2 linked regions of the Oryzias latipes genome follow. The protein of the gene in region 1 binds, or shares a complex with, the protein of each later gene. Links are inferred from orthologs where the notes say so. Each region holds a gene or a part of one and is shown on either strand. Other genes may lie near its edges.

What was found.
Region 2: xab2 (region 1) and ppie share a complex: the UniProt entries of both Homo sapiens proteins name them as parts of the XAB2 complex. The link is inferred for Oryzias latipes from reciprocal best matches to the Homo sapiens genes XAB2 and PPIE.

The regions. Positions count from the first base shown.
Region 1 is NC_019866.2:8,755,279-8,759,872, forward strand, and holds the start of xab2 (pre-mRNA-splicing factor SYF1), read right to left. Parts: upstream 2,935-4,594; 5' UTR 2,828-2,934; coding exon 2,792-2,827; intron 2,431-2,791; coding exon 2,282-2,430; intron 1,943-2,281; coding exon 1,819-1,942; intron 1,728-1,818; coding exon 1,530-1,727; intron 1,181-1,529; coding exon 1,046-1,180; intron 957-1,045; coding exon 792-956; intron 702-791; coding exon 557-701; intron 472-556; coding exon 320-471; intron 53-319; coding exon 1-52. UniProt on the Homo sapiens protein: Involved in pre-mRNA splicing as component of the spliceosome. Involved in transcription-coupled repair (TCR), transcription and pre-mRNA splicing.
Region 2 is NC_019880.2:16,796,425-16,801,025, reverse strand, and holds the start of ppie (peptidyl-prolyl cis-trans isomerase E), read left to right. Parts: upstream 1-1,608; 5' UTR 1,609-1,678; coding exon 1,679-1,709; intron 1,710-2,029; coding exon 2,030-2,128; intron 2,129-2,217; coding exon 2,218-2,261; intron 2,262-2,546; coding exon 2,547-2,573; intron 2,574-2,644; coding exon 2,645-2,726; intron 2,727-2,808; coding exon 2,809-2,912; intron 2,913-3,676; coding exon 3,677-3,800; intron 3,801-4,601. UniProt on the Homo sapiens protein: Involved in pre-mRNA splicing as component of the spliceosome. Combines RNA-binding and PPIase activities.

The sequences.
Region 1 (4,594 bases):
TGGCTTTCATTGGATCCACAGTTTGCACAGCCTCTGTAAAAGTGTTAATAATCTAGAAAGAAAGTAAACGAAAGAAAACACAAAAAATTTGTATTTGTATTGTATTAAATAATAGGGAGTTTCATCTGAGGCTTTTTTTTCCCCACTATACACATCTCAAAAGATTCCACATCAACCAAGACTAATTGCTAAAGATGGCAATTAGTAATGTATGTTTACTATTTGCCCACATTGTAGATATGTGATGAAAAGCACCAATAAAAAGTTAAACTATTATGGCATGAAATTGGCTAGAGGAGTACAGGAGCCCAAAATTCACCTGCCGTGGAGTCCCCTCATACAGTTTTACTCTCTTGTGCCACTCGTGGACATTATGGGGGTTCTGCCTTAGGAGCACACTGTTGAGCAAAAGTGGTCGACGAGCTATGAGTTGCTCAAAGCGAGCCAGTCTAAGCTCCAGGTCTACGTCATCTATGGATGGAAAGATAAGAAAGAAGGTAAATCTTAATTGGGTGAATGCAAGTACTGTTGAAAACATGAAATAATAACGACAAACCCTCTTCATCCTGCCCCATCTCAGAATTGGTCTCCATCTTAGCAGCAATCATGCTCTCCTCAAACTGAGCATAACTATCAAAAACCTGTGTAAAGTCTCTTACAGTGACCACTGTAAGGATGGCTTCCTCATACACATCTCGAGCCTTAAAAACAAAAAAAAATAAAAAGGATGTTACATTAACATCTTCCAGTGAATTTTGCATGAAATATTGGAGCTATTAGGAGAAACAAACTTTCTCAAAGTGGCCACTCCTGATGTAATAGTCAGCCAAAGAGCACCAAAGTTTCCCCAGCTGGTCTGTGAAGCGAGTGAGACCTCCTCGGATGATAGCTCCCACATTTAGGGAGGTCACCTTATCAGGATTCTGGGAGATCAGGTCGCAGAGCTCGTGCCACAGCTGAACAAAACATAAAAAGAAAGGTTTAAATAACATGTTCATATTCAAATTGAATGATTGCCCGATAAGTCAATATATCTAAAGCTTACCTGATAGTTGGATTTGCCCTCTTTGGACACAAAGTTCTCATCATTGACGATTGCAGCTAGCCGTACAGCTGCTTCGTCCAAGCGACCAACAGTTCGCAAATACCCTATGTATTCTTCCGCATTCTCTGGAGACAGCTAATCGTAAAAAAAAAAAAAGAAAACCCATTTTGAATTATTTAAGGAACTGTTAGTGTGCATTTCTAGTTTTGAAAAACTTTACATGAAAATCAAATCAAACTTTATTTAAAAAAAAAGTGCTTCTTATGCCTTGCACAACTCAAAGCGCTTTACATTAAAAAAAAAAAAAAAAAACATACACAATATTACAATAAAAACCCAACCCACCCTTCCCACTCCCCTCTGTTAACACATAACACACGACCCCACACAATGAAAACTTATTAATGCAACTTCTTAAAGAAACTTTACTGCATTTGTCTGAATCTAAGAAAATGTGTATTTTCTTTGTGAATTTCTTTCCAACCTTAAGGTATCTGCGGTATACTCGGACAGCCGTCTCAGGCACGGGAAGATTATGGACAAAGCGGAGATACAAGGGCCAGATTCGTGGATGTTGAGTTACAGGAAGGGCTCTGAGAGCGCGGTCGAAAGTCCGCCGACTTCTTGTGATTTTACACTGCAACACGAGGAACTGGCAGTAATCGAGCCATATTCTAGGCATCTATATTCAGGAAAAAAAGGATAGATTATTAACCTTTGAAAGCAATCATTTCATCTTTTTTATTATTAATTTAGCATGTATGGACCATTACCTTGTGCATGAACACCAGAGCCCTCTCATGACAATTGTTGGCTTCCTCATAGGCTGGTTCAGTGATGCATTTCCCTTTAACCTGTTTCCGCCTCTCTCTCAGGTAATTATACCACAACTTATAGCTGAAAACAGAGAAAAAGTTAAGGCTTAAACCTTAAACAAGATCCGCTTTGTATATTTTCAGTTTTAGATTAAAGTAAAATAACCTATTTGTTTAAGAAATGTCGCTTTTAAATTTTAAAAGCTATTCAACTTTTTTCATTTAAGAAACATATCACTAAAACTCCTAACAAGTCAGGACAAACACAAGAATATAACTGGTACTGAATATAATCAAATCCCTTTACATGCCCTAGTTAAAATTACTTTTACTTTGGCCATTCTAAACGTATTTTTTCAAGTCTAATGTTTTAAATAAAAAGCTATTCTTAATAATATAGATGATGATGGAAAGCAGTTACCTTCCAGGTAGTTCCTTCAAAGCCCGCTCATATATCATGTTAAGGTTAGTTTTAAGTCCATTTTGTTTGAATTCAATGTAACGCATCCAACACTTAACAGAGTACGGATTCCTGATGATCTCCTCTTCGTAAGGCAGGTCATCATCTTCCTGATAAAAGAAACACAGAAAACATAGTGGACTCTTTTTAAAATGTGTTTTTATTTTATTTATTTGGAATTATTAACCATTCTCTTTAGAGCTTAAACTAACACGAACAACTGGTTTTCGTTTAACTACGACCTTTGATATTAAAAACATCTATATAAAAATTTGAAAACCACAAAATTACAAGGGCATGGATGGTTAAAACCCTGCAAATAGAGTTAACCTAAACACTGTAGCAGTTAGCATAAATCTCGAAAAGCAACGCCGAGACGCAGTGTGGTTAGCTACACGGAAAGTTAGAGTTGGCCAGAAAACACTCTTAAAAACAAAAAGATAAAATGATATACACCATAGAGTAACTTACAAAAATAACATCAGCTTTTCCGTTTAATGATGGCATTTCTACCAAGAATAAATGGCTTTTCTGGATATTTGTGATGCTAACTTTGGTAGGCTAGCTAGAAGACGCGGTGCGTGCGTTAGCTTGCGTAACTTCCTGTTCCTGGTCAATGAGTGCGCAGGCGCAAGAAAAGACTACATGTCTGCTGTTTGTAGTTTATATATTTATTTATTTATTTATTTATTTTTGATTTGTGAATATGAAATTTCCTTTTTTTATTGAACAATTGCAACATACAGAACCACAAAATGAAAAATTAACAACAATTACACTTCTGAATACAGACTAAACGTGTTACATTCTTAGAAAGATTCTAAATATTAATAAAACACACAAAAAATAAAAAATTAAAACAAAAAAATAAAAATAAATATATGAAAAAATAGATAAAATAAAAAGAGAAAATGCGAGAGTAAACTTATGTTATCATTCCAAAAGATTTACAAATGTTAATTGTTTTGTGAGCTTTTGTATTTTTTGAAGCTGAAATCAAGTTTAAATATTGCTGCAGTTCCAGTTTGAACACAAATAAATCAGGTTTTTTATTAGAAAATTTGCTTTTGTGAAAGTGAAATTTATCCATAAATAATAACATGTTTATGCAAAAGAAAGCAACTCGATCTTTGAGATCAAAGCTATGAAAACCAAATAGTATGTTTTTATAATAAAGTTGTAAATCAGCCAAAATAGAGTCGGAGATAAACTTGTTAAAGTTTTTCCAAAATTTGTATGTGAATTCACAAGACCAGAATAAATGGGCGCAGGTTTCAGGTTGTTTCTGGCAGAAAGTACAGTTAGTGTTTATGTCAGCTTTAAATTTAGTTAAATATTGTTTTGCTGGATTAAATCTGTGTAGAAGTTTAAAAGAGATTTCTTTGACTTTATTTGTTAAGAAGTATTTTTTGTGGTAAAGACCAGACTTTTTTCCATTCAATTTTAGAAGTGAAATTAGCCCAATAAGAGGTAGCCGATGGAACAAAAAACTAAATTATCTTGGAACAAAGCACTGATTTTTGAGTTCAACTGTTTAGCAGAAGTGAAGCAGAAACGACCCAGAGGGGACTTGAGCACATCAGGAGGATGAAAAGTCAGAGAATGAGCGCTGTAGAAACCCTTGAATAATATGCAAAGCCCGGACGGGACGGCATCAAACACTACTGCAAATTCTTTGGGAGTCATTGGTATTTTATACTGCATTGTGAAATCTGAGTAGTTATATAATAATCCAGGTTCTTTGAATAATTGATTGAGGAAAATTATACCATTATTAAACCAGTTACTTAAAAACAGAGTTTTCCTATTATAGACAATATTACAGTTGTTCCAAATAATACAACTCTGTGGAGAAAAGTTGTGTTTGTAGATCAGAGCCCAGGCTAAGAGAACCTGTTGATGAAAATTTGACAGTTTCAATGGGATTTTTGGAATATTGTAGTTACAGCATAGCAGGAAATTTTGTATTTGTATCTGTTTGTAGTTTAGTTGAATATAATTTATACCTAAAATCCATAAGAGCAATCAATTCACCCAAAGCGATAACAGTATATAAAATACTGAGCGATGTTCCCAGTATCTTTGACAGTTTAGTTTAGTCATCCCCCTTTATTTTGTACCAATATCAAACTCTGAAGTTGTGTTTTTTTGTTTTCTTTATGATTTTATATATATATATATATATATATATATATATATATATATATATATATATATATATATATATATATATATATATATACACACACCCAAGATTCCCTGCTTCCCATGAGT
Region 2 (4,601 bases), on another chromosome or scaffold:
TTCCACATTGCTCTATGATCTAAATGTTTTGAAGGTGCCAATTGCACTGTGGTGTAGTGGTTAGCACTCGCCTCACTTCAAGACAACTCTGGATGTGACTATTCTGTGTGGAGTTTCCATGTTCTCCCAGTGCATGGTTGGGTTTTCTCAGTTTCCTCCCATAGCCCAAAAATGTGCTTCATGGTTTGTTGGCAATTGATTTGGCAATCGGTTAGTTCAAAAGGGGCCCAAGTCCACAATTTTTCAAAATAGAGATATTATATGTTTTATGGTCTTCAAGGGAAAAGCTATATGATTATGTGCAAAAAAGTCCCAAGTCTGTTGTAATGTATTGACTATGCTTGACATTTAAAATGCATTAAGTGCAAAATTCCTGAACTTGGGCCTCTATTGTATGGGTTTAGTTTTATCCCATTGATGGCAGCACTAGTTATCCAATATGGCAACGCCCCTGTTTAATACAAGAAGTGCCCAAGTCCAGAGACTTTAGTTTGCTAGTCCTCTGAAATTATAAAAATGAGGTGCTTCATATTATAGCATTTGTAAGCTATGAGCTGGTGCTAAATCTGGGTAAAGTATTAATCATTTGGTGTTGCCTCCCTTTAAGCTATGCAATTAAAATCATTTCCTGAAAAAAAAACCTCTTGGACTTGGGCCCCTTTTGAACTAACCGATTCAATTCTGAATTGTCCCTTAGGTGTGAATGTGAGTGTGTGTGGCCTTGTGACAGGCTGGTGACATGTCCAGGGTGCACCCCCCTTTTGCCCAACAGTGTCTGGGATAGGCTCCAGCAACAGAGTGAAACCAAACGAGATTCGATGGGTTTGGGAAATGGATGGTTTGGATGTATCATTTGGAACAAACTACCAAAAATTCTCTGTAAGTGAGAATTTACATTTAAAAATGTTGATCTTTTTTAGCTGTTGACCTGTTCTTCTGAATCGGCCATAAACACAGCTTTCATCAGTGAATTATAATGTTATTGTTTGTAGTGAAACACAATGTATTGTGCTTTACAACTCTAGTGCTACAAAGGGAGTGGGGTAAAATTGTGCCCTTAGGGTTTTGTTTCAGATAAAAAGTATAAAACCTTAGTTAAAACATGGTTGGGTTTCCGTAAGAAGAAGGTGAGGACTGCTGGGTCACTAAAAGCAGTGCTTCTCAACCTTTTCCCACTTTCTCTGCCAGGTAACCCTCAACAGTAAATCAGTTTAGAAATACAGAAAATTTATGGAACAATAAGATAAAAAATAATTTGAAAGTAAAAACAGTTTAAAGGGATTTAGCAGCATTATAACAACAAAACTCTAAAGCAAAAATTACATAACATTAGTGTATTTTAGCTGTCCAAAAATTATTGTGATACATAAAGTATATATTATATTTGAAACCACTGAGCTGTTTTGTTTTATTTTTAAAACATAGTTAGGTATTTCCATTTAAAAAACAAAAAAGACAAAAAGCCAAAACGACAAATATGATTGTTTTCATCTGAAAACTCTGGCACATTTCACAAATGTGTTTGAAAAGAGTCATATTGACGGTCATTGGCTCTATAGATCAGTTGCTGGACCTAAATATGACCAATAGAGGGCGCTGTGGATAGTTGAAGAGGCGGGCTTCCTTTTGATTCCACCAATCAGAGGCCGAGGTTAAAGTTCAACATCTAGAATCCAATATGGCGTCGAATAAAAGGGTTCTGTATGTCGGTAAGTAATGATAACTTTTTAAATTAACTATGAATGTCAGACCGATCAAGTTACACTCCACTCTGAACTAAAACAGAAATTAAAAGCTCTTTTATGCTAATTCCTTCTATAAAAACTTTTTTTTACCATTTATGCGGGGAAAACCAAGGCGAGTCAACGTTGTATTCCGGTCTTATAGAAACCATCACATGCTGCTAAGCCAACTCATACAGAGCTCACTGTTTTCGACTTTAACATCCTGGTTAATGTACGATGTGTTCATTCAAAAGTACGAAGATGAAGCATTGAGTGTTGAGTGTTTGCGCTGCTGCTTCCTCCAGGTGGTTTGGCGGAGGAGGTGGATGAGAAGGTTTTACACGCAGCCTTTATTCCCTTTGGAGACATCACAGACATCCAGATACCCCTGGATTATGAAACAGGTCAGATCAAGTTTTATTTTATAATCATATAACAAAAAAACAAAAAAAAAACCCTGATCATTTAAGTATTTTTTGTGCTTACATTTTAGAAAAGCACAGAGGCTTTGGGTTCATTGAGTTTGAGCTGGCAGAGGTTTGTGCTTTTAAAGTTTTCTCCTTTTGAATTGAATTATTGATGGCACAAAGGATGGATTCAGAAAACTCATTTTTTAAAAGGTATTCACTTGAAAAACGTTATAGATTCACCAAACCAACAAGAAAAACTTTTATTTGTTGTTTTTTTTAAAGTGCAAATCAAACTCTTTGATTTGATCATATTAATTTGAAAATAACCCAGAGTTGTATCGGTGAATCTTTAACAAAAGTGAGCTTTTATTTTCTTGAATGCATCCCTTTCTCATCACTGTCTTTCCTTCAGGATGCAGCAGCAGCTATTGATAACATGGTAAGTGACTAACAGTTCTTCTTATTCTTTAAAAAGATTGGGTTTAAATTGTAGCTTTTTTTTGCTGCCAGAATGAGTCTGAACTTTTTGGACGGACTATCCGAGTGAACATCGCTAAGCCCATGAGAATCAAAGAGGGTTCTTCTCGACCAGGTAATCATAGAAGAAGATTCTTAAAATCTGCTTTGTTTTTTATGATGTGGTTTTGACCTGTAACTCTTGTTTTTGTGTTCAGTGTGGTCGGATGACGACTGGCTGAAGAAGTTTTCGGGGAAAACCTTGGAGGAAGCCGAGGCTGAGGCGGTAGCAGCAGGAGAGGCACCCAGCAAAACACAGGAGGTGAGAACTTTTTGTTTTGTTTTCAGGACACTCAGTTTATTCAGGGAATTAGATTCTAGATATTTAAGGTATAAGGTCACTGCATAAACATGTAGTAAATGAGCAATCTTTTTTTCTCTTTAAATCTTAATTTTTAGAGTATAGTTCAATAAATTTAAATGTACAGACCCGTTAGAGGGCCTTTATTTTATTTTTTCACTGAGAAAAGCAGGTTTTGGTGAAATATTGTTGCGTCAGTGTAAGACTAAAAATGAAGAGTGTAAAATGTACAGTGAATGATGAAATGTCATGTCAGGAGTGAAAATCTGTCTAATTTATATAAAAACACATCAAAACGTGACTCATCAAAAAAGCAGGTTTGTGTTTACAATCCAGAGAAATCTGCATTTTCTTAGTAATCCTCATTTAGATTAGTTTGATTGATCCACTCTCCCAATTAGAGAAACCAACTTTATCACTCGCATAACAGTAATAAAATTAGAATTAAAATTGATTCACTGGAGGAAGCAGGTTTCTTATTAAATGCACTAAATGAGTAAATTATCTGGGTGTGTGGGTTTATTTGGAAAGTCTTGGCGCATTTGAACAACAAAGGGAATCAGAAATCCTTTACAGCATTTGAGCAGAAATTACTTCCATAACGGTTGAGAGATAAAGTTAAAAAAAAAAACATTTGTAGGACTATTTTTCATTTATTTATTCATTTTTGCAGGGCTTTGTGTAGGCAATAAAAATATGATAAATGCATTTTTCTGATTTTGCAGGGGGAGCCACAGGCTAAAAAGAGCCGAGTAAATCCACAGGTCTACATGGACATCAAGATTGGGAACAAAGCAGCAGGAAGACTGCGCTTCCTCCTGCGGGCGGACATCGTTCCGATGACTGCAGGTCTGCACACTCAACCAAAAGATGAAGCAAATATTAACATTCTTCTAAAAAAGTGCAAACATTTGCAGTAGGGGCAAAAATGTATTCAGTCAGCTACTATTGTGCAAGCTCTCCCACTTAAAAAGATGAGAGAAGCCTGTCATTTTCATCATAGGTATACCTCAACTATGAAAGACAAATTGAAGGAAAAAAATCAATAATTTACAATTAAATTCTCAAGAAATGTGATTTTTTTTTTCTTCTAATTTTGTTTCTCATAGTTGAGGTATACCTATGATGAAAATGACAGCCTCTCATCTTCTTAGGTAGAAGAACTTGACCAATTGGTAGCCGACTAAACACCATTTAACCCCACTGTGTCCTTTAGTCTCTCTTTGAGGTTGCTGATGCACACTCTATTTACTTTGAATATAATATCAGTCTTCTAAATTCTTTATAAATTATTCAAAAAATGTTTTTCTTTCTGTTTTTATAATAAAAAATAAACCTACTCCCCAATTCTGATTTGAGACAGGACCTGAACATATTGAGATTTCATATCCTATTTTTTTTTTTAGTCTGGGGCTGTGGTCTTACAATATATGACATAACCGAGACCCCTGTTGGAGAGAAATGGCAAAACCACAACTACACATTAAAAAGTCATGTTTCAAACAAATATAGGGACTTTCACCATATGGAAATTGCAGCAGCAATCCTTCACTTTAAAGGATCTAAATAGCATTATTTAGACATTTCTGTAATATGTACCATGTCTCACAAAAGGACAAAAGTAACAGCCTCTCAGCTCCCCGTCCATCA